Linked DNA regions of Lepisosteus oculatus. The protein of the gene in region 1 interacts with the protein of each later gene in a pairwise test. Links are inferred from orthologs where the notes say so. Each region holds a gene or a part of one and is shown on either strand. Other genes may lie near its edges.

Region 1 (15,918 bases):
AAGGGCTGTTTGTGGGGAAAGATGAATGACCTCACAGTCAGTGATAAAAGTAATTCCAAGGGAAAACAGTAAACTGATTCACTCAGGGTCAGCCTTTAACAGTAGGATCAAGCGTGGGTTCAGTTAAGACAATGGATGCTACAATAGCAACTGTTCCTTAAAATAAGCAAATATATATGGAATCACATTGTTATGTCTGAGAGCATACCACCAAGCACCCTATTGTAAAAAGGTAAAACCCTGACTGACATTATTTACATGAACTACCCCCTTATCTTGTTTATCCCGTTACTGCAACAGAATTGTTCAAAGAAATCTCATTTAATACAACAGTTGAAGAATGAAACAACAATATCAAAGATTATGAATGATTACATGAATCAATAAAATAAGGAGTATAAATCACAAGTGGAAAAGGCCAGATTACACTGTTTATTATTTCTTAATGGTCTGGGCATTTATTTAAAAGACTAAGGTACTCAAGTGGCAATTTTTAAAACAGTTCATGATCTCAGTCTTCGTGGTTTTTTGAAGGTGGTCAGTGTGTCATCTCCAACAACATGGCTGAGTAGCTTGTTCCATACTCCCACAACCACTAAGGCTGTGTTGAAGGTGACAACCCTCGTGACATACTTCTTCACTACAAATTCATTACGTATTTGCCTTGTAATTCAATCGAACCCTTAAAATGCCCATTACATGGTTCATACAACTTCTCAACAGACCAACAGAATGCCATTATTATGCTCTGAGAGAAATGTGAGATTTACTGGATGGTGCTGGAAAACATGATGCCACTGTTTCTTTTGACTATTATTGAGTCTTTATGCGCCGTTATATATTGTTTTATCAACCACTACATTCGTTGATGGTCTTTTCCTGAAATCCACTGCATTTGTGTGACTTTTTGTAAGGCTGTGCTCACCAAGGAGCAACATTTTATTTCCAAATCTAAAGCTGACCGGCTGTGCAGGCAGCTCTCTTTAGACAGTCTGCAACAAACCCAGAATGCACAGCGGCTACTTACAGAATACATACGCAATAGGTGATTCAGCATCTCACCACAGGGGAACACTCTCTTTCTGAAGATATCAAAAACAAAAGACGCCCACGTTTATCCTATGGATATTCACAATTTGGTAGATGTACAGGGCCTCTCCCCACCGAAAAGGTCTTCATCTGCATTGTTAATGCATGTAGCCACACAGACTTTGTCTCTGATAATAATAATTTACAATATCACTACTGCTTAGCAAGCAGACAAGACCTAAAACCTAGTGACACACACAGGAAAAACACCCATTTGCCTGCAGAATGACTGAATTAATAATCACTGATTAAAGGCAGAGTACAATATTCAATATTCAGTTATAAAAAGCCATGGGCAATGTATTTTTACATCATGCAAATCTAAACCACTATGCATTACACTGCATCTGGAATTGTAAAGATCTGAAGGTTTTTTCTGTGAGTTTGGGCTTAACAGCTTGCAAAATTGCCTATATTTGTCAGTAAACAGCATGATACAAAAATAACACACTGATGAGTATGTAATCATAGCAGCCTGTTTTCCAAATCATTGTAACAATTTATTGGCGCTTTTACAGTATAAGAAATTAAAATAAGTATAAAGACATTGCTGTGCCATAGTTCTGAAAACTAAGCAAGGAAAATGTGGAGAAATTTTATTTTAGGCAATATATCTTTCACGTAGTTAAAGATATGAACACTGAAATTAAAAATAAATACATATTTTAATGTTATACTATTTTAACAACAATATTCCATGGGAAATGAAACCTAATAACTTATTTCCTAGTTTTTACTGAATTGCAAGCTCTCTGATCTTTTCCTGCTCTACTGCATTTATTTTTGTATACAGAACAGAATACGATTCAGTTTCTTCAGCATGTCTTCTCTTCTTAGCACACAAGAGCAAGGCTTCATGGAAAACCCAGGACATCCTGGTTGAAAGAATCTGCTTCTGCCTGTAAAGCACTGAGCAGTGAATACAGTACGTGCCTTAATCTCACAAGGAAGGGAGTGGCATAAAATCTCATGTATTGAATAATACACCCAGTCATGCACTAACATCGCTGTGTTCCACGTGCTCGGTTCATTGACTAAATAACACTCTAAACTCTCTGCAAAAGCATGCAGCTTTAATTCGATCTGCTTAGTTACAGCAGGCCCAAAACATTTCATAAAGCAGTTAACTAACTTTAGGGTCACTCTAATTCTTGGCCTACAGTGGCGTTCAATTTATTCAAATCCAGTCATCGCACCTTAGGTGACTCACACCTGAGTTTTAATGGAGCCTACAGTATGTGCACACACCACATACTGTACATTGTTCTTTTTAAGAGACACCAAACATTTAGGAGATGATGTCGGTAGTCAAGCACACTTCAGGCTCAGACCTGCGGATCGAGCTCACAACTCCGAGAGTGGAATGAATCTGTTCCCTGCCTTGAACACTCAATACCCTTGTTCTCCCAAATAGACATGGGATGGCCCACTTCACACTGCAACATACAGGGCTCTCTTGTGTTCAAGATAAGCTTACTGTATATATCAGTTAGACCTGCCTGAAGGTTTTGGGAAACTGGAAAAACCATTCAGGACTTTATAATCATAATAATAATTGCTTACACTTATATAGCTCTTTTCTGGACACTCCACTCAAAGCGCTTTACAGGTAATGGGGACCCCCCTCCGCCACCACCAGTGTGCAGCCCCACCTGGATGATGCGACGGCAGCCATAGTGCACCAGAACGCTCCCCACACATCAGCTATCAGTGGGGAGGAGAGCAGAGTAATGGAGCTAATTCATAGCTGGGGATTATTGGGAGGCCATGATTGGGAAGGGCCAATGGGAAATTTGGCCAGGACACAGGGGTTACACCCCTACCCTTTTCAAGAAACACCCTGGGATTTTTAATGACCAAAGAGAGTCAGGACCTCGGTTTTACGTCTCATCTGAAGGACAGCGCCTGTTAACAGTATAGTGTCCCCTGTCACTATACTGGGGCATAAGGACCCACATGGACCGCAGGGTGAGCGCCCCCTGCTGGCTCCACTAACACCTCTTCCAGCAGCAACCTTAGTTTTTTCCAGGAGGTCTCCCATCCAGGTACTGACCAGGCTCACACTGCTGAGCTTCAGTGGGGCTGTCAGTTTTAAGTTGCAGAGTGATATGGCTGCTTCGAAACAAAAATACAACAGACTCGCCTTTTATGCTAAATATTTTTACCCGAATTCGTATTTACGTGGTGGGAGATGAAAAAAATGAATGGAAAATCAAATAATGCAGGGAATTTAGCAAATTCACATCTGGTGTGACATGTGTGGTGTGGTGTGGTGTGGCGTGGCCAAGTAGATACTGAGGCTCCAGCAAATTGAGATTTTGAACAAGTTTAGGGGTGGGACGATGGTGACCTGTTTGGGGCGTAAGTATGGCAAGAATGAAGCTTCAATTCTTGCAATGAGAGGCAGAAGACTTTTCGTCCGCTATGTTCCCTGCATTTAAATATCAAATTTTATTTGATCTATTTTGTATACTGTACAGTAATGTATTGACTGTATTACTGTTTTCATAATACCTTAAGCTACATACATACACATACAAATACACCTGCAATTGGTTGCAGGGAGGGGAACAGTGGGGTCTTAGGGAGATGCTCTAGTTATACATGATTTTGGGTATACAGTAGGCACTATGTCAGGAAGCCAAAATGTCATTTACTGTATATAATCACTTCCTGAATATCAAAGTACTACCCAAAAAGGCTTTTGGTTTTAATAATAAACCCAAATTATCAGCAATGTCTTTTGTCTTGAACAGAACATGTTTCCAAAAGATACCCAAAATCGTCAAGCCTAATATAAAAGCTGCTTGCATAGCACTAAAGTATTAACAACCCTATGCGTTAGCTGGGAACTAACAGCATATAGTAAAATCACCAATAAAGTCCAGTGACACTCTGGACACATTAACACTGTAAACCTAGCAGAAGGATGTTCCCCTGCTGATGCATGGCTGTTTCACTGCGGGGCAGAGCGCAGCATAACTGGAAGGTTGTGGGTTCATACTCCTGACGAGACACTGCTGTCAGCGACTCACTAACACAACATCGGGAGAAGCAAATTGGTTTTCACAAGGATTTAGGCTCTCGGACACAACATATATCAGATGATTTCACACTGAATTTCATCTTACAAGGTGAACAGAGTGCATCCGGGTGAGGCTTTTAATAAATGAGTGAAAATGTTAGTCTCCTACTACTGATAAGAACCTTTACTACAAAGGAAATAAATTCAGGGGGAGGACCTAAAACCTACTGTATTCTCATTCGTCAGACAAAATTGTAAAGGAGACAACAATTATGAGTTTGCAAAGGCCATGCCCACAGAAACTAAAAGTGATCCCATTGAAGAGATAATATGACCAGAATGAGCCTACGTAACACTTGCACTCTTCTGCCCTGCTCATACTGTATTTTTAGGTGCCACGGGATAAGGGTCTGGTCTATTTTTAAACTGCTGTATCTTTGTCATCACCCTCACACACACATATGAACTTGGGCAGAAACATTTCACTGTTGCATGAAACCCCAGCCTTTTCAAGAGCACTGTTAATAAAATGGGCCGATATATTCTCACCTGTGCAGACTTCTGATTTCTGGAACGTTTTGCTTATTTCATTTAATAACAAGATTTCAGCTACAGTGTGTTTCGGGTGCAGCAACTTGTATTACAAACTACTGTACATATAAAAATAAAATGAACAGTAACATCAACAGTGCGGATATACATTATTACACTATTTTATCATTGATAGGTCAACGTAATTATTTATAGAAAAATATAAATGAGCGTTAAAAAAACAGTGAAAACCTAAGCACTTTGTCTTAATTATAATGTGCTAACTCACTGAATCCTGCTGATTGAAGAAACGCAGTAACCAATGTGATGTAGAGCCATTCAGTGCCGTATCTTACAGCGATGACAAGTTCAACGATGTGAAGGCATGCTTCTCACAAATCTTGTTCAGCAGGAATCTCGGGATTGTCTTTTTTTTTTAAACCGATCCAAGACAGTCCAGTCATGTCATGATCAGTCCGACACACAATCCGCGTTTTCCCCGACAGCAAGCGTACGTGAAACTTACACGCCACTTTTCAAAGCTTCACTACAACAAAGACAACCAAGGCAAAAGTGAAGCTGTCAGTCGGAGTTGCAGTGTTAAGGACAGCTGACAGATACACTGCAGCAATACGGGGCCTGAGCTGTAGCTACAGTAGATCAATGAAATAGTTACTAAATTACTGCCGGTTACACTGCGCAGTGTTACAACTGAAAACAACTAGCCGGCCTAACGACACGAAATCATTTCTGAGCACACTGTCCTCACAATAGCGCATTCCCTCAGATGTCATACCTTCGCTTTGCCGGCCTCCAGCTTCTTCTGTCTCTCTTCGTCTTCCATTACGGTCGTTCCTGGGCCCAGGAAGAGGAGATTAAGGCTTCACACAAAGTGTCAGTTAAAAGGGTCAGAGCCGGTCTAACGAACTGACCACGTACTGGCATGTAAGGCTTCTTCTGCAGCTCCTAGCAAATACACTGTGCAAAAAACGTGTAGAGGACTCTCCGTTACTGGCTCGCCTCGGCCGCCATATTCAATACCACGTAAACACAGGGACCGCTGGTGATGACGTTCCTGAAGGTGCCTGCTTGCGATTCACGCCTCCAGGAAAAAAAAAAAATAACTCGAGGAGGGGTTTAGTTTAAGGTGGCAGCAGGTAAGGAATTTGCGTTTTGTAAAAAGATGAAAATTAAAAGTTGAGATCATTCACTTGGGCGTGCGGTATGTGCTTCGGCTATATTTCGGTGAGCAGGCTTCCGAGTCGGTTAAACTTTGGTATCACTTCTAAGATGTATAAATTTGCTCTAAATATGGTCTAATCAATATTTCTGTGAACGACAGCTCTTTATTATTCTTTGTTTGATTTGGTGGTTATTTACTGTAAATAAAGTTAAATACGAAATGAAGTATTTTCAGTAACAACATTTAATTATTTTTCCTATTATACTAATGTGTTATATGATTTATTGGGAGTAAAGATGTAATGCAATGCAATACTGTGCTGTACAATGAAATGCAGTATTCTTGTATGGTGATGTTGGGCAATGTTGCAATATTATAACTTCAATGAACCGATAATTCATTAAAAAAAACATAATTCTTGGAAGCACATTTTAAATGAATAGACACCTGTGGCTGGCAAGCAGACTGCTGATGGATCAAATTACTGTCTCGATAAGGCCCTCAACTCCGTTAAAACGTCTAATTGTATTAGTATTGCAACCTCAGTTTTCAATACTTTTTTATATCTTGTGCGATTCTAATGTAGCCAAACACTTAGTATCATACCCTCCAAGCAATCACCAAGCAATATGGACAAAAAAGCTAAGACAATAAAATGCAAAGCTAAACACCTGATGCGACCTTTGTTTAAATGCACTGGGGGGACATTTCACAATTCCTGAGGTTTATACAATAAATAGACTACGTACCTGCAGGAGAAGGTGGCCTCTGTCTCCGGACCACTGGGGTTGTACAGCTGATAGTCTGGCTGATCTTTAATTCCACCCATCTTCGCTTGGACATTTTTAGGTGTCTGTAGCAAGATGCGTCTCTCTTCTTTCTGAGGGCTCTGCGGCTGTGAGGCTACAGCTCTGGGACTCCAGACCATCAGAAAGTTTAGGGCATTAATAATTGACGTGACAGGAGTACTGTGTCAGCCACCGTAACTTAAGCACATACTGTAGGTCTGAGGCCATAATGAACTTATAAGAGGAACATGTCTAATTGACATAAAATTTGCTCCACAGTACCAAGTGTGTCTTTTTTTTAAATGAAGCCACAATGGAAAAGTACTTGTATCACAATGTAAAATGTAGTACACAAATTGTGGCAAACTCAGTTTCAGTTTTGTAGGAGGGTTATTCTTGCTAATCGAGGATTTTTGGTCATGCCCTGTATTTGTAGTACTGTACATGCGTTTTAAGGTGCTTTAGTGATAAGTATACATGCTTAAGGAATTTATTCAATAAGAGGAAAAGTAATATGATCCTGAAACATAGTCGATGCTGCATTCAATTAGATTTAACGCTTTGGAAAAATATTGCACTTAAATATTTTGATCTGAACCTGTAAATCCCCTGAAAAGAAGACATAGGACTAATGACTCCTTATATACAAGAACAATCTGAATGAACAAAAGTTCTGCCGCAGACCTGATGCAGAGAAGAGGGCTCTAACTCCACTGACTGTTCTGTCTGAGAAGCAATGAATGTCAGGTTCCACTGTCCCCAGTCACACTTCATCTCAGAGAATGGCCTTTGAGCACTGTATGAGAAAGCAAACTGTTTTAAATACAATACATGAGAAAGGAATGGCTGTATCAGGTTCCCAGCTCACTGCTGTTTAGCATCCTTCCAGTCTGATGGTGAATCTGTAAGTGATATTGATCTACATCCGGTAGCAGCTGCTTCAGAAGACACAGCTCTCTGAACAGAAATAAAAAAACAGTTGTTTAATTTGTTTATTAGTCAAGATGAAAAAGCACCTTGGGCTAGAATTTCTGTCAATCTCTCAAGTTACTGAGAGATTTTCAATGAGAAAAGTTCTGTAGCAGTCATTCAATTGAAACTTTTGGTAAAGGAGTTTCTCAGCCATTTGGGATTTGGGCTACTGTACCCCTGTTGGAACCTGACATACTTCTTCGAGTGATCAAGGAATGGATGATCTTCTCAATCTCACCTTTTTCATGAAAACTGCTCATCTGTAAATCTCTCTGGAAGCCGATCAGACATTCCTACTAAACACAGCAGAAGAAAAGGCAATATAACATATCTTGAACTTTGAACTTGAACTTGAACTTTATTGCCATATGTAACCGGTACTGGTACAATGGAATTCTTACTTACAGAAAGTCTCTCGATTGTAAAACAAGTGTAAAAAACAAAACAAAGTGCAAACAGTGCATCAAGACAATGTACAAACAAACAATAGACAATGTGCAAGTAAACATGTAGACAGTTTGAATGTAAACAATACAGACGTGAAAACAATGACTGGAGATGTGCAATAGATAAGAAATCATAAAGAGGTAGATGGTGATGGTGTAGGTGTGGTCCGAGGGGGATGGCTAAATGCGTTCGCCAGTCTCACTGCTTGTGGATAGAAGCTATTGAAGAATCTAGTGGTAAGTGTCCGTATGCTCTTATATCTCTTGCCTGAGGGCAGTGGGGTGAAGAGCTCATGCCCGGGGTGGTGACTGTCCTCTGTGATGGCCAGAATTCTACCACGGCAGCGCTCCTCATAGAGCTGTTTTATCTCGGTGAGACCGCAGCCGATGATCTTCTGGGCCATATTGACCATTCTCTGCAGTGCAATTTGTAGCGACAGACTGAAAAATGACACTCAGATTTTAGTTATAAATAAACTGAGGCTGTATCAAATGCAACAAATGATACACAAAGGAGGAAGAGTGGAATGGTAGTTAACATTGAGTCTTGGGGAAACTGAGTGGGTTTTCTCAGGTCACGAAAGACATGCCAATCAGGTTAATTGGATTCTCTAAACTGCCCCTTGTATGCGAGTGTGCCCTGTGATAGACTGGTATCCCATCCAGGGTGTGGGCCTGCCCTGTGTCCTGAGCCTGCCAGCTGAGGCTCAGGATCACAACGGATCAAGTGGCCACTGCAAATGAATCAATAAGCAAAGCAGTAATTAAGAGAAGCAGCCAATATAAAATGGGTATTGTTGGCATAGTCTAATCTTAAATGCAGGGACAGCTAATGGAATTCAAGAGTGACAGCTGGATGTCATGATGAAACCAGAGAAGGAGAATAAATAAACAGCAGAGGGCTGTTAGTGCCGAAACATGAGAGTGTCTAACATTCACAGTTGTATCCATGCATTTGATGGTGTCAAAAAATAAATGGAATCTATTCAGGTGAATAATAAATACATTCCAAAATTACAATATGACTGATCTGTAAAGTAAATAATACCCTGCCATTGAAAATACTAAAGTAAATTATACCTTTCTTAATCAACTACCTCTCTGTAATGAATAATGAATTGTATAATGAATATAAAATAACAGAACAAAATGATTTGGTTGTATAGCACAGTCTTGTCTTAAAATGTGGATAGAATGTTGTCAACAGATTTCCTGTTGTCATCAGGTTGTAGGTCCTGGAGATGAAGAAATGGGGGTTTAGACAGGTGTCTTAATTAATAATAATAATTAATATTAATAATTGCTTATACTTATATAGCGGTTTTCTGGACACTCCACTCAAAGCACTTTACAGGTAATGGGGTCTCCCCTCCACCACCACCAATGTGCAGCATCCACCAAAGTCTTAACTGGTTATGCCTTTCAGGAGGATCCCCTCTTTAGCCTGACAGGGGTGCAGTGAGCAAGGAGCTTCATTTCAGACAGCATAGGCCGCAAGGCAAGATCACACCTTGGATGAAGTCTGATAGACCCCTGAGCCAGTATCTAGCTCATGAATGTGACATGGTGAAGTGACTGTGGTTAATACTATTCCTGAGATTTTTCTAAATGGGTTAGTCTTATTTTCCTTGGTTTGTTGTGGAACTGTACTATAGCTTGATATGACAGTAATCCATACACTCTAATGAAGATTTGCAGGCAGACATGTCACCTCTCTGTGCCACCAAAAACAGGTTGTGTCATTTGACTCTGTGTGACGGTGCTGTGGCATTTAATTAATTGTTCTGGAGGTACATAACAACCAGTGTTTGCTTAGTCTTTAAAAATGCCATTCTGTGCGAAGAAAGATGTCTGTGAACAATGAGGACTGTATGTCTTAGCTCTGCCCTGCAGTGACGTTTGGGGTGACAGCGAAGGGTTCTGTTCCTTCTGGCCCTGGGGAAACAGACAGCAGCGAGTTAAATGGAGCCCACCGTCCAACATGACAATAGCAGCTACATTACCAGTGTTGTTTATGGTTTAGGGGAGGTCTGTGGCCGAGCAATCCTTAGTCACCTTCGACAGAAGACCTGTACTACAATAACAGTAATTAAACTTAAATTACTGCTGTCCGTGGAGAAAGAACAATGAAAAATGTGTGCATGTGAGGCATTGGAAATATTTAAAAGTACACTTCTACTGGGCAGCATTTCGATGGCATACTGACAGAAACATTTCCTTTTTCGCACTGCTACAAATCTCCCCCTATTGTGAGGCCAATTTTCCTTCTCCTTCCTCGTGTTACGGAACAAAAAAAAACGTTTTTCGATCTTTGAAAAACATGGTGTGGGGACATGCACTCCGTCTCTTCTGGTTCATTTTCTAAATGTAATTGCAACACTTCATGTGTGCTAGAATACGTGACTCAATATTTATATGAAGGATAATATGATTAAAGCAATTATTAACATGCGCCATTTCTGCCCCGTGTCTGGGCGACCAGTTGATGCCATCTAGTGGTCACAGGTCATTGCGACTCCGTAGCGGGAATGCGATCCCTTCAGGACTGCAGAGGGCGCCAGCAAATGCGTTCAATCAGAAATAACCGCTGTTGCAGGACACTTCTCTTGCCGTGCTAGTTCTATTACAAACAGCGGAAATGACCTGTGAAAAGGGTAAGGGAAGAGGTTGACTAGAATGGTGTGCTTTTCAATGAAAGCAAGTGTTTTGTTGCGTAGCAACAGAATTGAAATGTGTAACTCAGTATAACCTTGCATACCAGTTAGCCTTGCTTGGGACAATAGTAATATCGAGTTATTTTCCTGTTTGTGGGTTAATATATTAATTAAAAACAAAGGACCCGGTGAAAAAAGATGCACTGTACACTAGTGGCAGTGCAGGCTGCGGCAGTACTTTACCCAAAAGGCTTGTGTTAGTGACGTGTTTCTTATATGAATTGGCACGTTTTCCAGTATATTTTATTTGCATTTGATTTTACACTTCCTAGAATAAACGGTTCAGTGTTATAAGATAATTGAATATGAAACACGACAAATTATGAGACTGCAGCGCGAATCTGCTTCCGCATGAGGCGATGAAAGTCTCTGACGTCACGGCCATTGGTATCATCAATTATACGCTTTGCTGGTGTGTCTTGTTCACAATTATTACCTTTAAAAGTACTACACTTACATATTCTTTAGGTGTTTGGATCGTAGGTCTGCTTTACGCGAAATCCCATTGCTCACGACCTTAACCTTTGTTCCAGAGTGCTGGATTCTCATTCTCAATTATAACATGTTGTTTATATTAAACTTCTAACGATTATCAGGCATGAAAACACATCTGTTACTGCTAATAATGTTTTGGGGGGTATTTAAACATCAGATGAGCCTATCGTTCCAAGATCAATTTTCATGACAAGAAGAAATTACCTTTATCTGTTAAATTAATGTTACATTTAGAGCATCTGAATTCCATTCAGATAATTAAGATTACAGATAGATAATGTTTTTGTCATTTGTAAAAATAACGAATGTAGTGTTTTTGGTAATATCAGCTTTGATTTTATTGTTCTGTATTTGGAAAATGTTTATTAAGAATGTATAACCGCACTCCCGCAGCCTTTGGGTAACGACGTGACTCCTGTTTTTAAATGCTCTTCCACGTAGCTGCTACTTGTGACCTCTGACCTCTGGCTTATTCCTAAGACATCCGGGTAGACGTTGAGGCTTTTCGATACTGGTATCAGTTGCCCTTGCTAACGTTTCTGATAAAAAAACTATAAAAGTCCCTTCAGCCTGTCAGCGGAAGTTGTCTGTATTTTACCCCAGGAATTTTGAGAGGATGAGAATAGTGTTTTTTTCAATTTGTTCAGATCTTATATGCCCAATGAAAGTTTTATTTTTTTAAAGTTTTATTTTATTTTTTTTAGACTGCTGCTGGCTTACCTGTCATCACCCATCATCTCTGCAGAAAATGCATACCCGAGCTCAGTGTGAATCCAGGACAGGAGGGATTGTGGGGGGGATTGTCTAATTCCTCAGTACACCATTGGCCAGGGCAGCTCTAGCTGGGAAATACAAGCCTTGCTGTCTGCTGGTGCACACACCTGGTTCAGCAATGACTCCAAGGCCCAGTGGTAAAGTATAGATACTAAATGCAGGCTAAGCAGGAATAGTACAGCCCCCTGCTTTAGCTGATAACACATACGGTACCTACTGTGTAAGATACAGATTTGTGTGCAGGCGAGCTAGTATGTGCTTTGTCATGTTTCTTCGCGTAATATACAGGAGTTTGATCACACTCTAGGAAAAATATCGACTAATTTATTTGTAATTAGTAAGTTATTGTACCTTGCGCAAGGGTACGACAGCCATGCTTATCCCCAGAACTGAACCTGCAACCTTCCATCTATAAATCTAATCCTAGCCAGAGCTTTACACTGCTGCCTCTGAGTGCCAGGTAATAAGGGCAGTTTATTTTTAATCACCAGCAAAATCCCAAAACGGGCTGATGGAATTATTCTATCCCTGTGAACATTCATACTTCTATTTTTTAGGATACATAGTATTGTGCTATTAGTGCATTAGTGACCTAATGTGACACATAGTGTAATTAAAAATGGAGGCTTGTTTATTGAATTTCTACATCTTATTGTCACAACGGTTAGCCCATATTCTCAAAAATGTGTTTATATATAATACCTGTGTTTGTTTCTATCTAGGCACTGATAAAACATGGCAGTGATTCACTTGCTCTGAGCTTGAATATATAGAATGGGAACTATATAGAGATTTAGGGCAGTGAATCAGGGAGGCTGAAGTCTTTTGTTGTGCTTCTCAAGATTACCATTAGACCTCCCCGAATATGTTAGGCAAATCGGTTGGTTAAATATTTAAGCAGAGCAAACAAGATTTCCATCAAGGTAAACAGTAAATTCAAGCTGCAGGGATGTGCTAATGTGCCTCACAATGAACAGTTCTTCAGTCCCAGCCAGGGCTGTGAGGGGAAAGATTGTTTAGTGTGTTGTGTGTGTCTCGGAGACAGCACTTCACACACTAGTTTACAAGTAATGTATTAAGACCTCTAACTTCTGCCCTTTCATATTCTAAAACTCACCTACATATTTCCTAATCTGTGATTAAGATATTTGAACGGTGCCTGCAAGCCTTGTTTAAGAAGGGCTTTATTCTTCTAAGCATTAACATTATTGCATTATAATTATGAATTTGCATGATCCAAAAAAGCAACATCAGTGAAAGTTAAATAAAATCTGCATTATCCCCAGCTTTGTTACAGAGCAGTTGTAAGTCCATTTGAATGTTTTAGTGTTATAAATAAATAGCAACGAACCATACAGAACACTAACTTTCCTTTCCATTCCCCCCTCCAGGCTCCTGAATATTGCATGACGCCTTTGATTTGTGAGATGGTGCTGTCCAGCATCACAGGCATGCTGCACTGCACTTTGGGGCGAGCTGTGCTGGGTCTCTGTGTCTCTCGACAGCTGGCACCATGGCTTTCCTCGCTGCGCAGTTCAACATCTAAGGTCGTCCAGGTCAGCCCAGGCAAGGAGAACGAGGTGCTAGTGGAGAACTTGACCGTTCTAGGCGTGGACATTAAAATGGCGAGGAGACGGCAACCAGGCGTCCTTCGGAAAGTGATCACTAACGAGCAGGGCCTTGCCCGCTTTCTGCGGGCCAAAGGGGCGAGCAGGGAGGTGGTGGCCAGCATCATCTCGCGCTACCCTCGCGCTATCACTCGCTCCCACCAGCACCTGGAAGAGCGCTGGAGGCTCTGGAGGAACGTCTTCAAGAGGGACGACGAGATCGTGAAGATCCTGGAGCGCTCGCCCGAGTCCTTCTTCCGCTCCAGCGACAACGCCAACCTTGAGAAGAACATCGCCTTCCTGTGGTCCCTGGGCTTGACCTCCAAGGACCTCCACCGGCTCCTCACCACCGCCCCCCGCACCTTCTCCAACAGCGCCGAGCTCAACCGGCAGATGGTGGAGCTGCTGCAGGACATCTGCGTCAGCCTGGGCGGCACCGACCCGGAGCAGTTCATCAAGCGGATCATCTCCCGGAACGTGTACATCCTGATCCGCAGCACCAAGCGGGTCAAGGCCAACGTCGAGTTCCTGCGGGGCGCTCTGAGGCTGAGCGACGCGGAGCTGCTGCAACTGCTCCAGGGCCACGGCGCAGACATCCTGGACCTCTCTAGCGAGTACATCAAGAGGAACTTCCGCAGCGCCGAGCAGAAGCTGAGATCGCTCGGCTGCTGCCAGGAGGGGGTCAAGAAATTCATCATCTTGTACCCTCCAGCCCTGTACATCTCTCCTGAGAACCTGAAGAACAAAATAGACTGCCTCCTGGAGGGAGGGGTGGATATCGAGCAGATACTGGAAAAGCCACGGGTGTTGGATTTCAGTGCTGAGACGGTGAGGAGCCGGCTCAGGGTACTGGAGAAGGCTGGGTACGACTTTAAAAAGCAGGGGATAGCCATTTTAGACTCCAGCCGAAAGCGCTTTGAAGCAAAGTTAGAGAAGTTATCGGAGCAGCCTGAAGAGTGAAAAGGATTGAAATCAGCCACTGCCTACTCACCTGTGCAGTCCCACATTAGGTTTTGCAGTCTTTTCATTAACATCTTTTGACAGAAGGATGGTTTTGGACATTTATCTTTCCTGCATTTAATATTGAACAACCGAAAGACATAATCCAGATAAAAAATAATAAATATCTATTTTGAACAATATGTGTATTGATTTAGCCTGCATGTAAAATGTGTGCTCCTTTTGCAGGGAAAATCAATAGCTTCACTGCAATAGCTTGTAAAATAAAGTGATTGCAGAACGGAATTGGTCATTTCCTGTTAAAGAAAAAAATCACCTGTTTGTCAGAGCGGTTCTATCATCTCACATAGGTGCAAAAAAACTTTTACTTTAGTCTGTCAAACCAGCTATAGTAGTTGAACATGTTGTGTATGAAGCCATCAGGGATGTATTTTTGCATTTTATACAAAATGGCAGCCTATCACTGTACACACAGAGAACCCTGTTAGTACAGTTTTCTGTTTACACAGTTATGAGCAAGGGTGACAGCTGTAACCACCAGACATATGAACCACTACCTACTGTATATATAACAATGACATAGAGGACAGAAGCCAGTTGTTACTGATAAAACACTAATATAAGCACATGTTAAGTCACCCAGGATAACTGATAAATGGGATTAAGTGCCTAAGAATCATTCCTGATGTCTGCTTTTATCAAAGCTACAGCAATGCCCTTTTCTATATGGTATTTGTTTTTCACCAGTCTCTGACTAAGTGTGAACTATCCACTTTTGGAAAAATCAAAAAGTAAAGATGTAAAGAAAAAGTTTTTGCCAAGTAATGACATCCAAGATGTTGGAGAAGCGTGCTGGCTGTGATGTCGATGCACCTTCTTCGTAAAACCGGTGAGGGAACTACACCTGTGTTTAATATAAATGAATTCAAAACCTTTTATGAAGGATAACCGTTGCTGAAATGTGAGATTTTAACAATTGTAATTATCTAAAGTCTTGAAGTCTTATCCGCTGATATTTAAATAATGTTGTTTGGAAAAACACTAATTCTAATTCACTGGGATGTGGAAACAGAGGCTTTGTTTTTGTTGATTACGAGTACATAAGAAATATTATGAATTAAACTGCACAGTGCTGTTGTGACCAGCAGGTGGCACTATGAAATAGGTAAACGGAGTTGAAAGTTATTACAGCAATTTAACTTCATCCCCCTCAGTGTCTTGTGCCCATAGCATCTGCTCTGGCTACATTTTTTGTGATGCCAGTCACATAACAGACAATTTAAAATGTAAACAGGCAAGTGTGATAGTTCTTTCATTTCTCCCTGTAACAACAT
Region 2 (15,470 bases), on another chromosome or scaffold:
CAAGCACTTCCAGAATTGTGGAGCACTCACTCGCCCAGAGGCCTGTGAACCATTAACATTGTGCCTGCGTGGATTAATATTGCCTGCTAAAGATGTAACAACATTGTGTTGGGGCTTGTCTCATTATGTCTTGTACTACTTTCTCTGTGTTGTTTTTGTTACACTGTGGCCCTCTAGATATCTGTTAGTGTCTGTGAGCGATGGTGTTTCAAAGCTGTGGCTTTATATCGGTGTGTGTGTGTGTGTGTTTGTGCTGCTGTACAGTAGCAGTGTGTGTGTGTGTGTTTGTGCTGCTGTACAGTAGCAGTGTGTGTGTGCTGCTGTACAGTAGCAGTGTGTGTGTGTGCTGCTGTACAGTAGCAGTGTGTGTGTGTGCTGCTGTACGATAGCAGTGTGTGTGTCTGTGTGTGTCTGTGTGTGCGTGCTGCTGTCCAGTAGCAGTGTGTGTCTGTGTGTGCGTGCTGCTGTCCAGTAGCAGTGTGTGTGTCTGTGTGTGTGTGTGCTGCTGTCCAGTAGCAGTGTGTGTGTGTGTGTGCTGCTGTCCAGTAGCAGTGTGTGTGTCTGTGTGTGTGTGTGCTGCTGTTCAGTAGCAGTGTGTGTGTCTGTGTGTGTGTGCTGCTGTCCAGTAGCAGTGTGTGTCTCTCTGTCCAGTACACAAGCCCGCCCTTGTGAGATCAGTGCTGTGTGATTCGGGAGAGCCGGGCCGGTCCTGCACACGGCCCCCTGACAGACTGCCTCTCCAGCCCTGCAGTGGCGTCTGCTCTCCCCCGTGTGCTCTGAGCGCAGTGGAGTCAGGCGGAGGGCCGGCCCGTGGGGCTGCTGCCTTTCTCAGGGCCCCGGCCTCCCAGATGAAGCACCATCTCGCGGGCCAGCTCTCCTCCACACACTGGGACTGGGACAGGGATCCGCCCCCAGCCCCCGGCACTGTGAGGGGCGGCCAGGGCAGCTGGCTCGAGGGCAGCGCCTGCGCGAGGGGAGTGTCGGGGTGTCAGAGTGCAGGCAGGATCCCATGACCATGTGTGTGTGAGAGAGTGAGTGTGTGTGTAGCGCTGTGAGTGTGTGTGTGAGAGTGAGTGTGTGTGTGAGAGTGAGTGTGTGTGAGAGAGTGAGCGTGTGTGTAGCGCTGTGAGTGTGTGTGAGAGAGTGAGCGTGTGTGTAGCGCTATGAGTGTGTGTGAGAGAGTGAGTGTGTGTGTAGCGCTATGAGTGTGTGAGAGAGTGAGTGTGTGTGAGAGAGTGAGCGTGTGTGTGTAGCGCTGTGAGTGTGTGTGTAGCGCTGTGAGTGTGTGTGTAGCGCTATGAGTGTGTGTGAGAGGGTGAATGTGTGTGTAGCGCTATGAGTGTGTGAGAGGGTGAGTGTGTGTGTGAGAGAGTGAGTGTGTGTGCAGCGCTATGTGTATGTGTGAGAGAGTGAGCGTGTGTGTAGTGCTGAGTGTGTGTGAAAGAGTGAGCGTGTGTGTAGCGCTATGAGTGTGTGTGTGAGAGAGTGAGTGTGTGTGTAGCGCTATGAGTGTGTGTGTGAGAGAGTGAGCGTGTGTGAGAGAGTGTATGTGAGAGGGTGAGTGTGTGTGTAGCGCTATGAGTGTGTAGCGCTATGAGCGTGTGTGTGAGAGTGAGCGTGTGAGAGAGTGTGTGTGTAGCGCTGAGTGTGTGTGAGAGAGTTAGCGTGTGTGTAGCGCTATGAGTGTGTGTGTGTATGAGAGAATGGGAGAATGAGTGTGTTTACGAGAGAGTGAGGGTGTGTAGTGCTATGAGTGTGTGTGAGATTCAGCGTGTGTGTACGAGAATGTGTAAGTGTGTGTTTCAGAACGGTGAGACAGGTCTAAAGCAACAACAATTAGACCATATCTATACTATTACTATTAACAGATCTAACAGATTACTATTGTGTTATTATTATGCTCTCTGTTCTTCAGGCTGTAACAGGTGATCACATACCTGGCTTCTGCTCTGTTGAGTTTCCTCTTCTAGCAGGACCGGGAGCTGTTCTGATTCTGGCAGGTGGGGGAATTCTGGGATCAGGTTTATTTTATGGAAGAATGTTTGTCTAATTTGTTTGTCACACTGCAGCAGAAAGTGGATCTCTGTCTCTGCTTATCCCCGCTGGCAGTAGGAGCACAGCCTGTCATCTCCGGACAGCCAGGTCTGCCTGTGTCCAGTTTCTGTGGCCAGGCTGTGGTCACTGAGCCTGTCCTCTCTGGACAATCAGGTCTGCCTGTGTCCAGTTACTATGGCCAGGCTGTGGTCACTGAGCCTGTCCTCTCTGGACAGCCATGTCTGCCTGTGTCCAGTTACTACGGCCAGGCTGTGGTCACTGAGCCTGTCCTCTCTGGACAGCCAGGTCTGCCTGTGTCCAGTTTCTGTGGCCAGGCTGTGGTCACTGAGCCTGTCCTCTCTGGACAATCAGGTCGGCCTGTGTCCAGTTACTATGGCTAGGCTGTGGTCACTGAGCCTGTCCTCTCTGGACATCCAGGTTTGTCTGTGTCCAGTTTCTGTGGGCAGGCTGTGGTCACTGAGCCTGTCCTCTCTGGACAGCCAGGTCTGCCTGTGTCCAGTTTCTATGGCCAGGCTGTGGTCACTGAGCCTGTCCTCTCTGGACAGCCTGGTCTGCCTGTGTCCAGTTTCTGTGGCCTGGCTGTGGTCACTGAGTCTGTCCTCTCTGGACAATCAGGTCTGCCTGTGTCCAGTTACTATGGCCAGGCTGTGGTCACTGAGCCTGTCCTCTCTGGACAGCCAGGTTTGCCTGTGTCCAGTTTCTGTGGCCAGGCTGTGGTCACTGAGCCTGTCCTCTCTGGACAATCAGGTCTGCCTGTGTCCAGTTACTATGGCCTGGCTGTGGTCACTGAGCCTGTCCTCTCCGGACAGCCAGGTCTGCCTGTGTCCAGTTACTATGGCCAGGCTGTGGTCACTGAGCCTGTCCTCTCTGGACAGCCAGGTTTGCCTGTGTCCAGTTTCTGTGGCCAGGCTGTGGTCACTGAGCCTGTCCTCTCTGGACAGCCAGGTCTGCCTGTGTCCAGTTTCTGTGGCCAGGCTGTGGTCACTGAGCCTGTCCTCTCTGGACAATCAGGTCTGCCTGTGTCCAGTTACTATGGCCAGGCTGTGGTCACTGAGCCTGTCCTCTCTGGACAGCCATGTCTGCCTGTGTCCAGTTACTACGGCCAGGCTGTGGTCACTGAGCCTGTCCTCTCTGGACAGCCAGGTCTGCCTGTGTCCAGTTTCTGTGGCCAGCCTAGTATCATTGAGCCTGTCCTCTCTGGACAGCCCAGCCAGGTCTGCCTGTGTCCAGTTTCTGTGGCCAGGCTGTGGTCACTGAGCCTGTCCTCTCTGGACAATCAGGTCGGCCTGTGTCCAGTTACTATGGCTAGGCTGTGGTCACTGAGCCTGTCCTCTCTGGACATCCAGGTTTGTCTGTGTCCAGTTTCTGTGGGCAGGCTGTGGTCACTGAGCCTGTCCTCTCTGGACAGCCAGGTCTGCCTGTGTCCAGTTTCTATGGCCAGGCTGTGGTCACTGAGCCTGTCCTCTCTGGACAGCCTGGTCTGCCTGTGTCCAGTTTCTGTGGCCTGGCTGTGGTCACTGAGTCTGTCCTCTCTGGACAATCAGGTCTGCCTGTGTCCAGTTACTATGGCCAGGCTGTGGTCACTGAGCCTGTCCTCTCTGGACAGCCAGGTTTGCCTGTGTCCAGTTTCTGTGGCCAGGCTGTGGTCACTGAGCCTGTCCTCTCTGGACAATCAGGTCTGCCTGTGTCCAGTTACTATGGCCTGGCTGTGGTCACTGAGCCTGTCCTCTCCGGACAGCCAGGTCTGCCTGTGTCCAGTTACTATGGCCAGGCTGTGGTCACTGAGCCTGTCCTCTCTGGACAGCCAGGTTTGCCTGTGTCCAGTTTCTGTGGCCAGGCTGTGGTCACTGAGCCTGTCCTCTCTGGACAGCCAGGTCTGCCTGTGTCCAGTTTCTATGGCCAGGCTGTGGTCACTGAGCCTGTCCTCTATGGACAGCCATGTCTGCCTGTGTCCAGTTACTACGGCCAGGCTGTGGTCACTGAGCCTGTCCTCTATGGACAATCAGGTCTGTCTGTGTCCAGTTTTTGTGGCCAGGCTGTAATTACTGACTCCATACTGGTCCACCACTCACAGCAGATCCCAGTGCTGACCAGGCCTGGTGTGTGTGTGTGAGAGAGAGAGGGAGGGCTCCAGCCTCGTCTGAGGCAGTCCACCAGGAGCAGAGGTGTGTGTGTGTGAGAGAGGGCTCCAGCCTCGTCTGAGCCAGTCCAGCGGGGCTGAGGGTGCTGCTGTCTCTTTAAGAGCGGCGATGAGCGATCAGTCCCCCGGCTGTGGCGTGCTCTGTGGCCTGAGAGAGAGAGGGAGGGAGCGAGCGTGGAGCCCCGAGCGGACGCGTGCCCACGTAGGGACACAGCAGGCATGGATGGGGATCACTGTGAGTGTAGGTACCCTGCCACGCCGACGGGCCGACCGGCCGGGGGGGGAGTGGGGTCGGCGGGCCAGGTGCTCTCGTTTCCTCCGGCCCGGCTCTCTCTGCTGCTCCCGGCGCGCGGCAGCAGGAAGTGCTCCGCTGTGCGCTGGCGGTTCCACTTCCGCAGAGGCTCGCAGACGACTCGGGGTCCTCTGCAGACGGGGGGACCGGACCCGGGTCTGGCCTTGGGGGGGCGTCGCTTGGGGGATGGGTGAGGGCAGCGGTGCCCGCTGACCTGCCTCGGCAGCGCTCTGTGGGCAGAGTTCCTCTCCTGCTGTTCGAGGACGGACGTCCCTTCTCTTCTGATCGCCTCATTGGTGAAGCCCCTCTGCCTGCCCTTCCTCTCTTGCTGCGGCACGCAGAGCAGCGCAGGAGCAGACAAGCTCCTGCAGCTCTCAGAATAGATCTCCTCGCTCTCCGAACTTTCTCTTCTGCAGTGTAGCAATCAGCATGTGGTCCGCTGTTGAAATGCTGGCCGACAGACACTGATGACTGGCAACGATATTAACTGCAACTGACAGGCTGATACAGCAGACTGACTGACTGACTGACACAGGGGCCTGCCGACTGTGACTGACTGACTCACTGACACAGGGGCCTGCCAACTGTGACTGACTGACTGACAGACACAGGGGCCTGCCGACTGTGACTGACTGACTCACTGACACAGGGGCCTGCCGACTGTGACTGACTGACTCACTGACACAGGGGCCTGCCGACTGTGACTGACTGACTGACTGACTGACTGACACAGAGGCCTGCCGACTGTGACTGACTGACTCACTGACTGACTCACTGACTGACTCACTGACTGACTGACTGACTGACACAGGGGCCTGCCGACTGTGACTGACTGACTGACTGACTGACTGACACAGGGGCCTGCCGACTGTGACTGACTGACTGACACAGGGGCCTGCCGACTGTGACTGACTGACTGACACAGGGGCCTGCCGACTGTGACTGACTGACTGACACAGGGGCCTGCCGACTGTGACTGACTGACTGACACAGGGGCCTGCCGACTGTGACTGACTGACTCACTGACACAGGGGCCTGCTGACAAACACAGGCAGGGGTTGACACAGGGACTGGCTGAGCTGACAAACAGCTTAAGCACAAGCGGTGCTCGAGCTTGGCGACGTCTCTCGGCCCATGCCCGTTCGCCAGCGGTGATGCATTGGAGCCCATTGATCTTGCGGCCTGTTCCCCGCGTCTCTGCTCCGGCTTCTCGTTCCTGCTCTGAAGCGCGTCGTGTTTCAGCGGCCAGTTCCCTCTTCTCGGTTCCCAGTTTCCCCTCCGGTCTGCGTGCGTCCGGATTGAGGAAGGGGGCGGAGAGCTGGGGCGCTAGCAGACGCGGGCGGCCCGCTCGGACCCTGCAGTGGTGGCCGGGAGGGGGAGGCAGCCATGGGGGCAAGAGAGCAAGAGAGATGCCGCCACACGTCCGTGCGCGTGGCGTATGGGCAGCAGGAGCGCCCCGGCTGAGCCGAGCCCCCCGCGTGCCGGTCTGACGTCTCCCCCCCCACCCCCACCACTGCGTTTTCAGAAGCGAGAGACGAGCGTAGCGTCTCGACCTCTCGCCTCCCGGAGCCAGTGACAGCAGGAAGGAAGCTGTGTGGCTGAGCTTGCAACACGTACCAGCTCAGTCACTCTCTCTCTCTGCCTGCCGTCCCTCCATCAGCAGTTAGAGAACAGGAAGTCCCCGGGTGGGGCTGGCGCAGATTATTTCTCTGTTTCTCGCGCGGCAGCTCGGGACCTTGTGCTCTTTATTTTGTTCCAAGTTTCGCCTGTTTTTTTTTGTCCTCCCTCCCCTGCACATCCAGTCCGGGTGGGAGCGGCCAGTGCCGCGTGCCGGCGAGGGAGGGGTGGGGGGAGGCCTGGGAGCGTGGGATTGTGGGACTCCAGCGATGTCCAGCGAGGAGGGCCCGGGGCCCGGGCCGCGGGCGGAGGAGAGCGCGGCCGACGCTCCGGAGATCGAGACCGCGGTAGGGCAGCTCGGCCCCGCGGCCGCCGGCGCTCCAGTGTCCGTTGGCTGACGTCGCGGTTTTCGGTTTCTCGCCGCCGTCCCTCTCGTTCTCTTGCTCCGCTCCTGTGTCGGCCACTCCCATCTCCCCGCCGGGGCCCCGTGTGTGTGTGTGTGGCCCCGCGTGGCCCCGGGCCTCAGCCTCCAGGGACGGGGCTGACCTGTGTGTGTGCGATGGGGGAGGGGAGAGGAGGGTGCTGTCAGGACGGCCAGGCGCAGGCTCGGCACCGCGCAGGGATCACTTCCATCCTAATCTGTTTATTTTTCTTTCTGATTCAATTGTCATCGATTTGAGAGGTCAACAGGCTTCAGTTTTCCAGAGAGTTGTCATCCTGAATGTGTCTCATTACTATGTGACTCATTAGTTGTTATATGAACTCGTACTTGTTAAACCCAGTGCTAATCTGCTGAGAGCAGGAATAGATAGCAGCCTCGCATGTCTCCTCCTGACATCACAGAGCACAGGCCGGACTGGACTGACTGTACTGTGAGCTGGATTAGTTACTAACTGAGATTATAATCAGACTCACACTGACCGAGCAGTCTGAGACTCTCCAGGGCAGGACTGGACTGACTGTACTGTGAGCTGGATTAGTTACTAACTGAGATTATAATCAGACTCACACTGACCGAGCAGTCTGAGACTCTCCAGGGCAGGACTGGACTGACTGTACTGTGAGCTGGATTAGTTACTAACTGAGATTATAATCAGACTCACACTGACCGAGCAGTCTGAGACTCTCCAGGGCTGGACTGGATTTACTGTACTGTGAGCTGGATTAGTTAATAACGAATTAACAGAGAGAACTCTCCTACTATCAGAGCATTTGGTGACAGGCTCGAGGGGATGTAGTCAAATCCCTTCCACACCCCCTACTTCCAATACATGTACTGTTTGGCATAGGGTTCTGTTTCCGCCCGGACTTCGCTGGCTCAGATCTGGGCTATCCTAAGGGTCCTGACACTTAGACAGATCTGCTGAGCGTGCTCTGAGGCAGCCTGTGAGTTTGCAGTGTACTTGCCACCTCTCTGTCTGCCCTCTGTGGTTCATGGAGCGACAGAGGAGCGGCATGCCTCTTCATGCTCACTTAGGAGGATCTGGAATGTTGTGAGAAATATCAGGAAAAACGGATTTCAGTTTTTCAGGCATCAGGTTACACAATAGACAAAGGCATTATTGCGGTGTGGTTCTGTACAGTTGCAATAAAATTATGTAAATGAAGGAGGAAACTTTCAGCGCAGAACCAAAGCTGTGCTGCGTGGAGAGAGAGGAGACCAGATCTTCTGTAGACATGGGCGTCTTGCGAGTCACATGACCAGTGACCTCACACTCACAGAGCTCCTCCTGATGGGCTGAACGCAAGACATGTTTCACAGCACAGAAGTCAGGTTTGCTCTAGGAAACATGGGAAGAGCAGATGGACACGCTGCCTTCTGGGTGTCCCCCAAAGCGGAGGTGTGGAAACAATAACTGGCGAAGTTTTTAGAGTTTCAGAAACGCTGTCCTGTCTGCTCTCGGAGGATGCAGAAGGCAGGGGCTTTCCAATCCAGCCTGGGTCAGAGAGAGTGCAGCGTCCGTCTCTATAAAGAAACAGAATCCTTTATTCTGCAGCAGTCTTGCAGCCCGGTGCTGCTCTCGGAAGGCCTATGGAGGAAACAGGAAGTGAGTCAGTCTGCGCTGCAGGCCGAGGGCTGATGGGCCCCTGCAGGGATTTAGACCAGACTGTCTTCTGTAGTTTGTGTTTGCGCTGTGTCTCTGGGAAGAGTGTTCAGGGGGCACAAGAGTGAACTGTAGACAGTGACGGAGCTCTGTCCCTGTCTTGCTCTTTCTCTGTTTCTGCCTTCCTCCCCCACAAGCCTTTTCTGTTCTGTCCCACAATCCCTCTCTCTGTGGACATGGCTGTCAGCTGCTTCCCTGCTTCTTTCCTCCTAGCTCTCTCCCTCCTCTCTCCCTCTCTTTACCCCTTTCTCCTCCTTCTCCCTCCCTCTCTTCTCCCTGTCCCTTTGTCTCCTGCATCTTTCCCTGCTTTCTCCCTCTCTCCAACCCTCTCCTCCCTCTCTCTTTCCCTGAGTGACATGTGGACAGAGGTGTGTTGTCAGTTTCGCAGCAGCTGAGCTCTCTTGCCTTCTCCCTCAGTCTCTCACAATACCTCCTCCTCTCCTGCTCTCTTACAGAGTGATCCAGCGGGCCTGTCGGTTCTGGAGCAGCTGGGCCTGGACCAGAATGCGGACTTCTCGGACACCAGCGTGCAGCAGCGCCTGGACGAGGAGCGGGAGCGAATTCGACGGGAGATCCGTCGGGAGCTGAAGATCAAGGAAGGGGCGGAGAATCTTCGGCGGGCCACCACGGACAAGCGCAACCTGCAGAGCGTGGACACCATGTTGAAGAGCTCCAACCGCCGCCTGGACGAGCTGCACGCACAGCTGCAGGAGCTGGACGCACACATCGTCGTCAAGGGCCCTGACGAGATCAGAGGTAACAGCAGCACTGCGCTGAGACAGAGCTCAGTGAGCGAGTGTGCCATCAGAGCTCCGCGACCGAGTGTGCCGTCAGAGCTCAGTGTCAGAGCTCTGTGACCAAATGTGCCGTCAGAGCTCAGTGTCAGAGCTCTGTGACCAAATGTGCCGTCAGAGCTCAGTGTCAGAGCTCTGTGACCGAGTGTGCCGTCAGAGCTCAGTGTCAGAGCTCTGTGACCAAGTGTGCCGTCAGAGCTCAGTGTCAGAGCTCTGTAACCAAGTGTGCCATCAGAGCTCAGTATCAGAGCTCTGTGACCGAGTGTGCCGTCAGAGCTCTGTGACCGAGTGTGCCGTCAGAGCTCTGTGACCGAGTGTGCCGTCAGAGCTCTGTGACCGAGTGTGCCGTCAGAGCTCAGTGTCAGAGCTCTGTGACCGAGTGTGCCGTCAGAGCTCGGTGTCAGAGCTCTGTGACCGAGTGTGCCGTCAGAACTCAGTGTCAGAGCTCTGTGACCGAGTGTGCCGTCAGAACTCAGTGTCAGAGCTCTGTGACCGAGTGTGCCGTCAGAACTCAGTGTCAGAGCTCTGTGACCGAGTGTGCCGTCAGAGCTCGGTGTCAGAGCTCTGTGACCGAGTGTGCCGTCAGAGCTCAGTGTCAGAGCTCTGTGACCGAGTGTGCCGTCAGAACTCAGTGTCAGAGCTCTGTGACCGAGTGTGCCGTCAGAGCTCGGTGTCAGAGCTCTGTGACCGAGTGTGCCGTCAGAGCTCAGTGTCAGAGCTCTGTGACCGAGTGTGCCGTCAGAGCTCGGTGTCAGAGCTCTGTGACCGAGTGTGCCGTCAGAGCTCTGTGACCGAGTGTGCCGTCGGAGCTCTGCGAGCGACGGTGCCATTGGAGCGCAGTGACGGAGCGTACCATGGGAGCGCAGTGACGGAGCGCAGTGTCAGAGCAAGGCACAGTGACAAAGTGGTATAGTGCAGTGACAAAGCAGGCAGCACAGTAACAGAGCACAGAGCACAGTGACAGTGAAGCCCTGGTGCACTGTCGGAACTGTGTAAGAGACAAGCTGTTTGTCTGTTCCCAGATGCCCCTCAGTCACCTGGTACAGTGAGCCGCTCCTCTGCCAACCAAGACCGCATCGCCGCTCTGGAGAAGCAGCTCAACATCGAGCTGAAGGTCAAGCAGGGGGCAGAAAACATGATTCACATGTACTCCAACGGCTCCACCAAGGTATGGCTCTCCAGCACTCTCTCTCTTTCCTTCCTGGTGCTCTCATGTAGACTCTGCCACCGTAGACTCGCTCTGCCCTTCTTTAGTTCAGACACATTTCAGGCCTTCGTGCTTCCCTCTCCCTCTCTCTGCTCCAGGACCGGAAGCTCCTCCAGACGGCACAGCAGATGCTGCAGGATAGCAAGACCAAGATCGACATCATCCGCATGCAGATCCGCAAGGCAGTGCAGGCCAACGAGCTGGACACCGAGGACAGCCAGGGTCAGTCTGTGTCTCTGTCTGTCTCTATCACTGTCTGATGAGCTGGACACTGAGGACAGCCAGGGTTAGTCTGTGTCACTGTCTGATGAGCTGGACACTGAGGACAGCCAGGGTCAGTCTGTGTCACTGTCTGTATCACTGTCTGATGAGCTGGACACCGAGGACAGCCAGGGTCAGTCTGTGTCTCTGTCTGTATCACTGTCCGATGAGCTGGACACTGAGGACAGCCAGGGTCAGTCTGTATCTCTGTCTGTATCACTGTCTGATGAGCTGGACACTGAGGACAGCCAGGGTCAGTCTGTGTCACTGTCTGATGAGCTGGACACTGAGGACAGCCAGGGTCAGTCTGTGTCTCTGTCTGTATCACTGTCTGATGAGCTGGACACCGAGGACAGCCAGGGTCAGTCTGTGTCTCTGTCTGTATCACTGTCTGATGAGCTGGACACTGAGGACAGCCAGGGTCAGTCTGTGTCTCTGTCTGTATCACTGTCTGATGAGCTGGACACTGAGGACAGCCAGGGTCAGTCTGTGTCTCTGTCTATATCACTGTCTGATGAGCTGGACACCGAGGACAGCCAGGGTCAGTCTGTGTCTCTGTCTGATGAGCTGAACACCGAGGACAGCCAGGGTCAGTCTGTGTCTCTGTCTGTCTCTATCACTGTCTGATGAGCTGGACACTGAGGACAGCCAGGGTCAGTCTGTGTCTCTGTCTGTATCACTGTCTGATGAGCTGGACACTGAGGACAGCCAGGGTCAGTCTGTGTCTCTGTCTGTATCACTGTCTGATGAGCTGGACACTGAGGACAGCCAGGGTCAGTCCAGTGTCGGTCTGATGAGCTGGAAACTGAGTCAGGGTCAGTCCACTGGGAAGCAGCTGAGGAAGCCGCGATGCCCACCGCTGTTGCTTTCCCTCCTGTATTCGCCCAGATACAGACAGGAAAAGAGCACAGGAGATTGATCAGTGCTGTCATCAAGAGAGCACTCACAGAGCCATCCCAGAGCCTTTTACGTGACCATTAGCCCTCATTAAGAGCTCGTTAAAGGGCCAAAGGGACCAGGGGTAGTGCTGATTTGCTGAGACATCCGTCTCCAGCACGCATCAGGAGTGATGCCCAGCTATCGACCGCCGGCCCAGGCCGCTGCCGGCCACTTAGATGGAGCTGCAAATCAATCCACCCCCCCCCCCAACAGAGGGGTCAGCAGAGCCCCCGGGGCCGCACAGGGTCGGGCCAGAGCGAGGCGAGACGCGAGCTGATGCCATGGTCTCCGCAGAGAGAGACGCCAGCCGTGCCGTCCCTGCGTGTCTGTGAGCTGCCTGTCCTGTCACAGCTCGGCTCGGGGAAACGCTTATTGATACGGCTGCTCCGATCCAGAGACATTAAGGAATCGCCAGAACGTCAACACAGAACAGCAGCAGCGGCAGCAACACCGGGCTCAATAACATACAGCCTTAGAAAAGCAAGCCGGCACCAGCAGTGTGAGAAGAGACAGAGCAGATCAGTGAGAGCAGTGATGTCGATGAGTTTAGTCAGAGGCAGCGGTGGAGTTCAGCAATCTGACAGCTCCTGTTCCCGCTCCTGTCGCTGTGGCCTGTGCTCCCAGGTTCTGGGGAGAGAGAGAGAGGGAGGGAGGGGAGGGAGGACCACAGCCTGGGGGGTCCGGGTTATTTCTGGATACTGTACTCGGAGCGTGGCAGTGTTTACTCACACTCGCCCCGGCGCACTGCTGTGTGTGCTGCGCTGAACCCGAGCTGTAAGACGCTGTCTGTGAGCCGCTGGGGCATCTGGCTGGCTGCTCCTGGCCTTTTTAGGAGAGGACGGCGTTCATCCCCAGACGCAGCCCTGACGCGCACACACACACACACACGAAGGGAGGCTGTCGCCAAGCTCTCCGGCAGGGTTGGCGAAGCACCATTTTCCAAGGAGGCTTTGCGTCCTTGTGCGGCTGGGTCACCCCGTCGGCTCTGTGCGGCCCCTCCCCACCTGCACTCTCCCCTCTTCACCGCGGCGCGGGCCTGACCCCCCTCTCCCTCACGCAGGGAAGCCTGACCTCTCGGCGGTGGAGCTGCGGATCGAGGAGCTGCGCCATCATTACCGCGTGGAGCACGCCGTGGTCGAGGGCGCCAAGAACGTGCAGAGGCTGCTGGGAGCGTGCAAGGCTCACGACAAGAAGGCCATGCTGGAGGTACAGCTGGGACCCACACCCGCTCGGTCCCGCGCAGACGCTGGGACCCACACCCGCTCGGTCCCGCGCAGACGCTGGGACCCACACCCGCTCGGTCCCGCGCAGACGCTGGGACCCACACCCGCTCGGTCCCGCGCAGACGCTGGGACCCACACCCGCTCGGTCCCGCGCAGACGCTGGGACCCACACCCGCTCGGTCCCGCGCAGACGCTGGGACCCACACCCGCTCGGTCCCGCGCAGACGCTGGGACCCACACCCGCACGGTCCCGCGCAGACGCTGGGACCCACACCCGCTCGGTCCCGCGCAGACGCTGGGACCCACACCCGCACGGTCCCGCGCAGACGCTGGGACCCACACCCGCACGGTCCCGCGCGGACGCTGGGACCCACACCCGCACGGTCCCGCGCGGACGCTGGGACCCACACCCGCACGGTCCCGCGCGGACGCTGGGACCCACACCCGCACGGTCCCGCGCGGACGCTCGGCCCGACTGATACCCTCTTGCGGGCCCAGTCCCGGCTCGGTCCTTCCCTGTCCCAGGCCTGCTCCAGCTCGGTTTTCCCCTTGTCCCATGCCCAGTCCTGGCTCGGTTCAGTGCTGAGCTTTCGACTGCTCTTTGCCAGGCCCAGACAAAGCTCAGCGAGTCTTCCCAGCGGATGGACCTCCTGCGCCATTCCCTGGAGCAGCGGCTGACCGAGCTGCCGGAGGATCATCCCAAGAGCTTCCTGATCAAGGAGGAGCTGGTACTGGACTCCTCCCCGGCCTTCAGCGCCCGGCAGTGCGGCCCCTACCTGCAGAACCAGTACAGCACACTGAGCAAGCCCTCACCCCTCACAGGTAACTGATGCCTGCTGTCGGTCACTCTGTCTCTCTGGGCTCAGGGACTCTGGAGGTGCTGGGTGGGGTGTCACTGTGTCTCTGGGTGGGGTGTCAGTGTGTCTCTCTGTGCGCAGGGACTCTGGAGGTGCTGGGTGAGGTGTCACTGTGTCTCTGGGTGGGGTGTCAGTGTCTCTGTGCGCAGGGACTCTGGAGGTGCTGGGTGGGGTGTCACTGTGTCTGTGGGTGGGGTGTCACTGTGTCTCTGGGTGGGGTGTCAGTGTGTCTCTCTGTGTGCAGGGACTCTGGAGGTGCTGGGTGGGGTGTCACTGTGTCTGTGGGTGGGGTGTCACTGTGTCTCTGGGTGGGGTGTCAGTGTGTCTCTCTGTGCGCAGGGACTCTGGAGGTGCAGGGTGAGGTGTCACTGTGTCTGTGGGTGGGGTGTCACTGTGTCTCTCTGTGCGCAGGGACTCTGGAGGTGCAGGGTGAGGTGTCACTGTGTCTCTGGGTGGGGTGTCACTGTGTCTCTCTGGGCTCAGGGACTCTGGAGGTGCTGGGTGGGGTGTCACTGTGTCTCTCTGGGCTCAGGGACTCTGGAGGTGCTGGGTGGGGTGTCACTGTGTCTCTCTGGGCTCAGGGACTCTGGAGGTGCTGGGTGGGGTGTCACTGTGTCTCTGGGTGGGGTGTCAGTGTGTCTCTCTGTGCGCAGGGACTCTGGAGGTGCTGGGTGGGGTGTCACTGTGTCTCTGGGTGGGGTGTCACTGTGTCTCTCTGTGTGCAGGGACTCTGGAGGTGCTGGGTGGGGTGTCACTGTGTCTCTGGGTGGGGTGTCACTGTGTCTCTCTGTGTGCAGGGACTCTGGAGGTGCTGGGTGGGGTGTCACTGTGTCTCTGGGTGGGGTGTCACTGTGTCTCTCTGTGCGCAGGGACTCTGGAGGTGCTGGGTGGGGTGTCACTGTGTCTCTGGGTGGGGTGTCACTGTGTCTCTGGGTGGGGTGTCAGTGTGTCTCTCTGTGTGCAGGGACTCTGGAGGTGCTGGGTGGGGTGTCACTGTGTCTCTGGGTGGGGTGTCAGTGTCTCTGTGTGCAGGGACTCTGGAGGTGCTGGGTGGGGTGTCACTGTGTCTGTGGGTGGGGTGTCACTGTGTCTCTCTGTGTGCAGGGACTCTGGAGGTGCTGGGTGGGGTGTCACTGTGTCTCTCGGTGGGGTGTCACTGTGTCTCTGGGTGGGGTGTCACTGTGTCTCTCTGTGCGCAGGGACTCTGGAGGTGCTGGGTGGGGTGTCACTGTGTCTGTGGGTGGGGTGTCACTGTGTCTCTGTGCGCAGGGACTCTGGAGGTGCTGGGTGGGGTGTCACTGTGTCTGTGGGTGGGGTGTCACTGTGTCTCTGGGTGGGGTGTCACTGTGTCTCTCTGTGCGCAGGGACTCTGGAGGTGCTGGGTGGGGTGTCACTGTGTCTGTGGGTGGGGTGTCACTGTGTCTCTGTGCGCAGGGACTCTGGAGGTGCGTCTGCTGGGCTGTGTGGGGCTGCTGGAGGTGGTGCCAGGACGAGCCCGAGGCACCGCCGTGGTGCTGCCATCGTACAGTCCCGGCGAGGGCAGGTCCTTCATGCGCAGCGGGAAAGGACTGTACGGCCGCAGCGGAAGTGTGAGCGGGAGAACACCAAGCAAGACTGACGAGCTGTCCAGTGAGTCTGTCCCAGTGTCTGTCTGTACACCCGGCAAGACTGACGAGCTGTCCCGTGAGTCTGTCTGTCTGTCTGTACACCCGGCAAGACTGACGAGCTGTCCCGTGAGTCTGTCTGTCTGTCTGTCTGTCTGTCTGTACACCCGGCCAGACTGACGAGCTGTCCCGTGAGTCTGTCTGTCTGTCTGTCTGTACACCCAGCAAGACTGACGAGCTGTCCAGTGAGTCTGTCCCAGTGTCTGTCTGTACACCCGGCAAGACTGACGAGCTGTCCAGTGAGTCTGTCCCGGTGTCTGTCTGTATACCCAGCCAGACTGACGAGCTGTCCAGTGAGTCTGTCCCAGTGTCTGTC

What was found.
Region 2: the proteins of akap9 (region 1) and pkn1a interact in a two-hybrid assay, tested with the Homo sapiens proteins (2 studies listed by BioGRID). The link is inferred for Lepisosteus oculatus from reciprocal best matches to the Homo sapiens genes AKAP9 and PKN1.

What each region holds. Positions count from the first base shown.
Region 1 is NC_090705.1:5,251,240-5,267,157, forward strand, and holds the start of akap9 (A-kinase anchor protein 9), read right to left. Parts: upstream 5,682-15,918; 5' UTR 5,490-5,681; coding exon 5,442-5,489; intron 1-5,441. Other genes in the region: transcription termination factor 1, mitochondrial, read left to right, coding at 13,424-14,584. UniProt on the Homo sapiens protein: Scaffolding protein that assembles several protein kinases and phosphatases on the centrosome and Golgi apparatus. Required to maintain the integrity of the Golgi apparatus. Required for microtubule nucleation at the cis-side of the Golgi apparatus.
Region 2 is NC_090706.1:13,877,441-13,892,910, reverse strand, and holds the start of pkn1a (serine/threonine-protein kinase N1), read left to right. Parts: upstream 1-7,546; 5' UTR 7,547-8,011; coding exon 8,012-8,152; intron 8,153-8,664; coding exon 8,665-8,965; intron 8,966-10,025; coding exon 10,026-10,171; intron 10,172-10,308; coding exon 10,309-10,432; intron 10,433-12,470; coding exon 12,471-12,616; intron 12,617-13,241; coding exon 13,242-13,455; intron 13,456-14,924; coding exon 14,925-15,119; intron 15,120-15,470. UniProt on the Homo sapiens protein: PKC-related serine/threonine-protein kinase involved in various processes such as regulation of the intermediate filaments of the actin cytoskeleton, cell migration, tumor cell invasion and transcription regulation.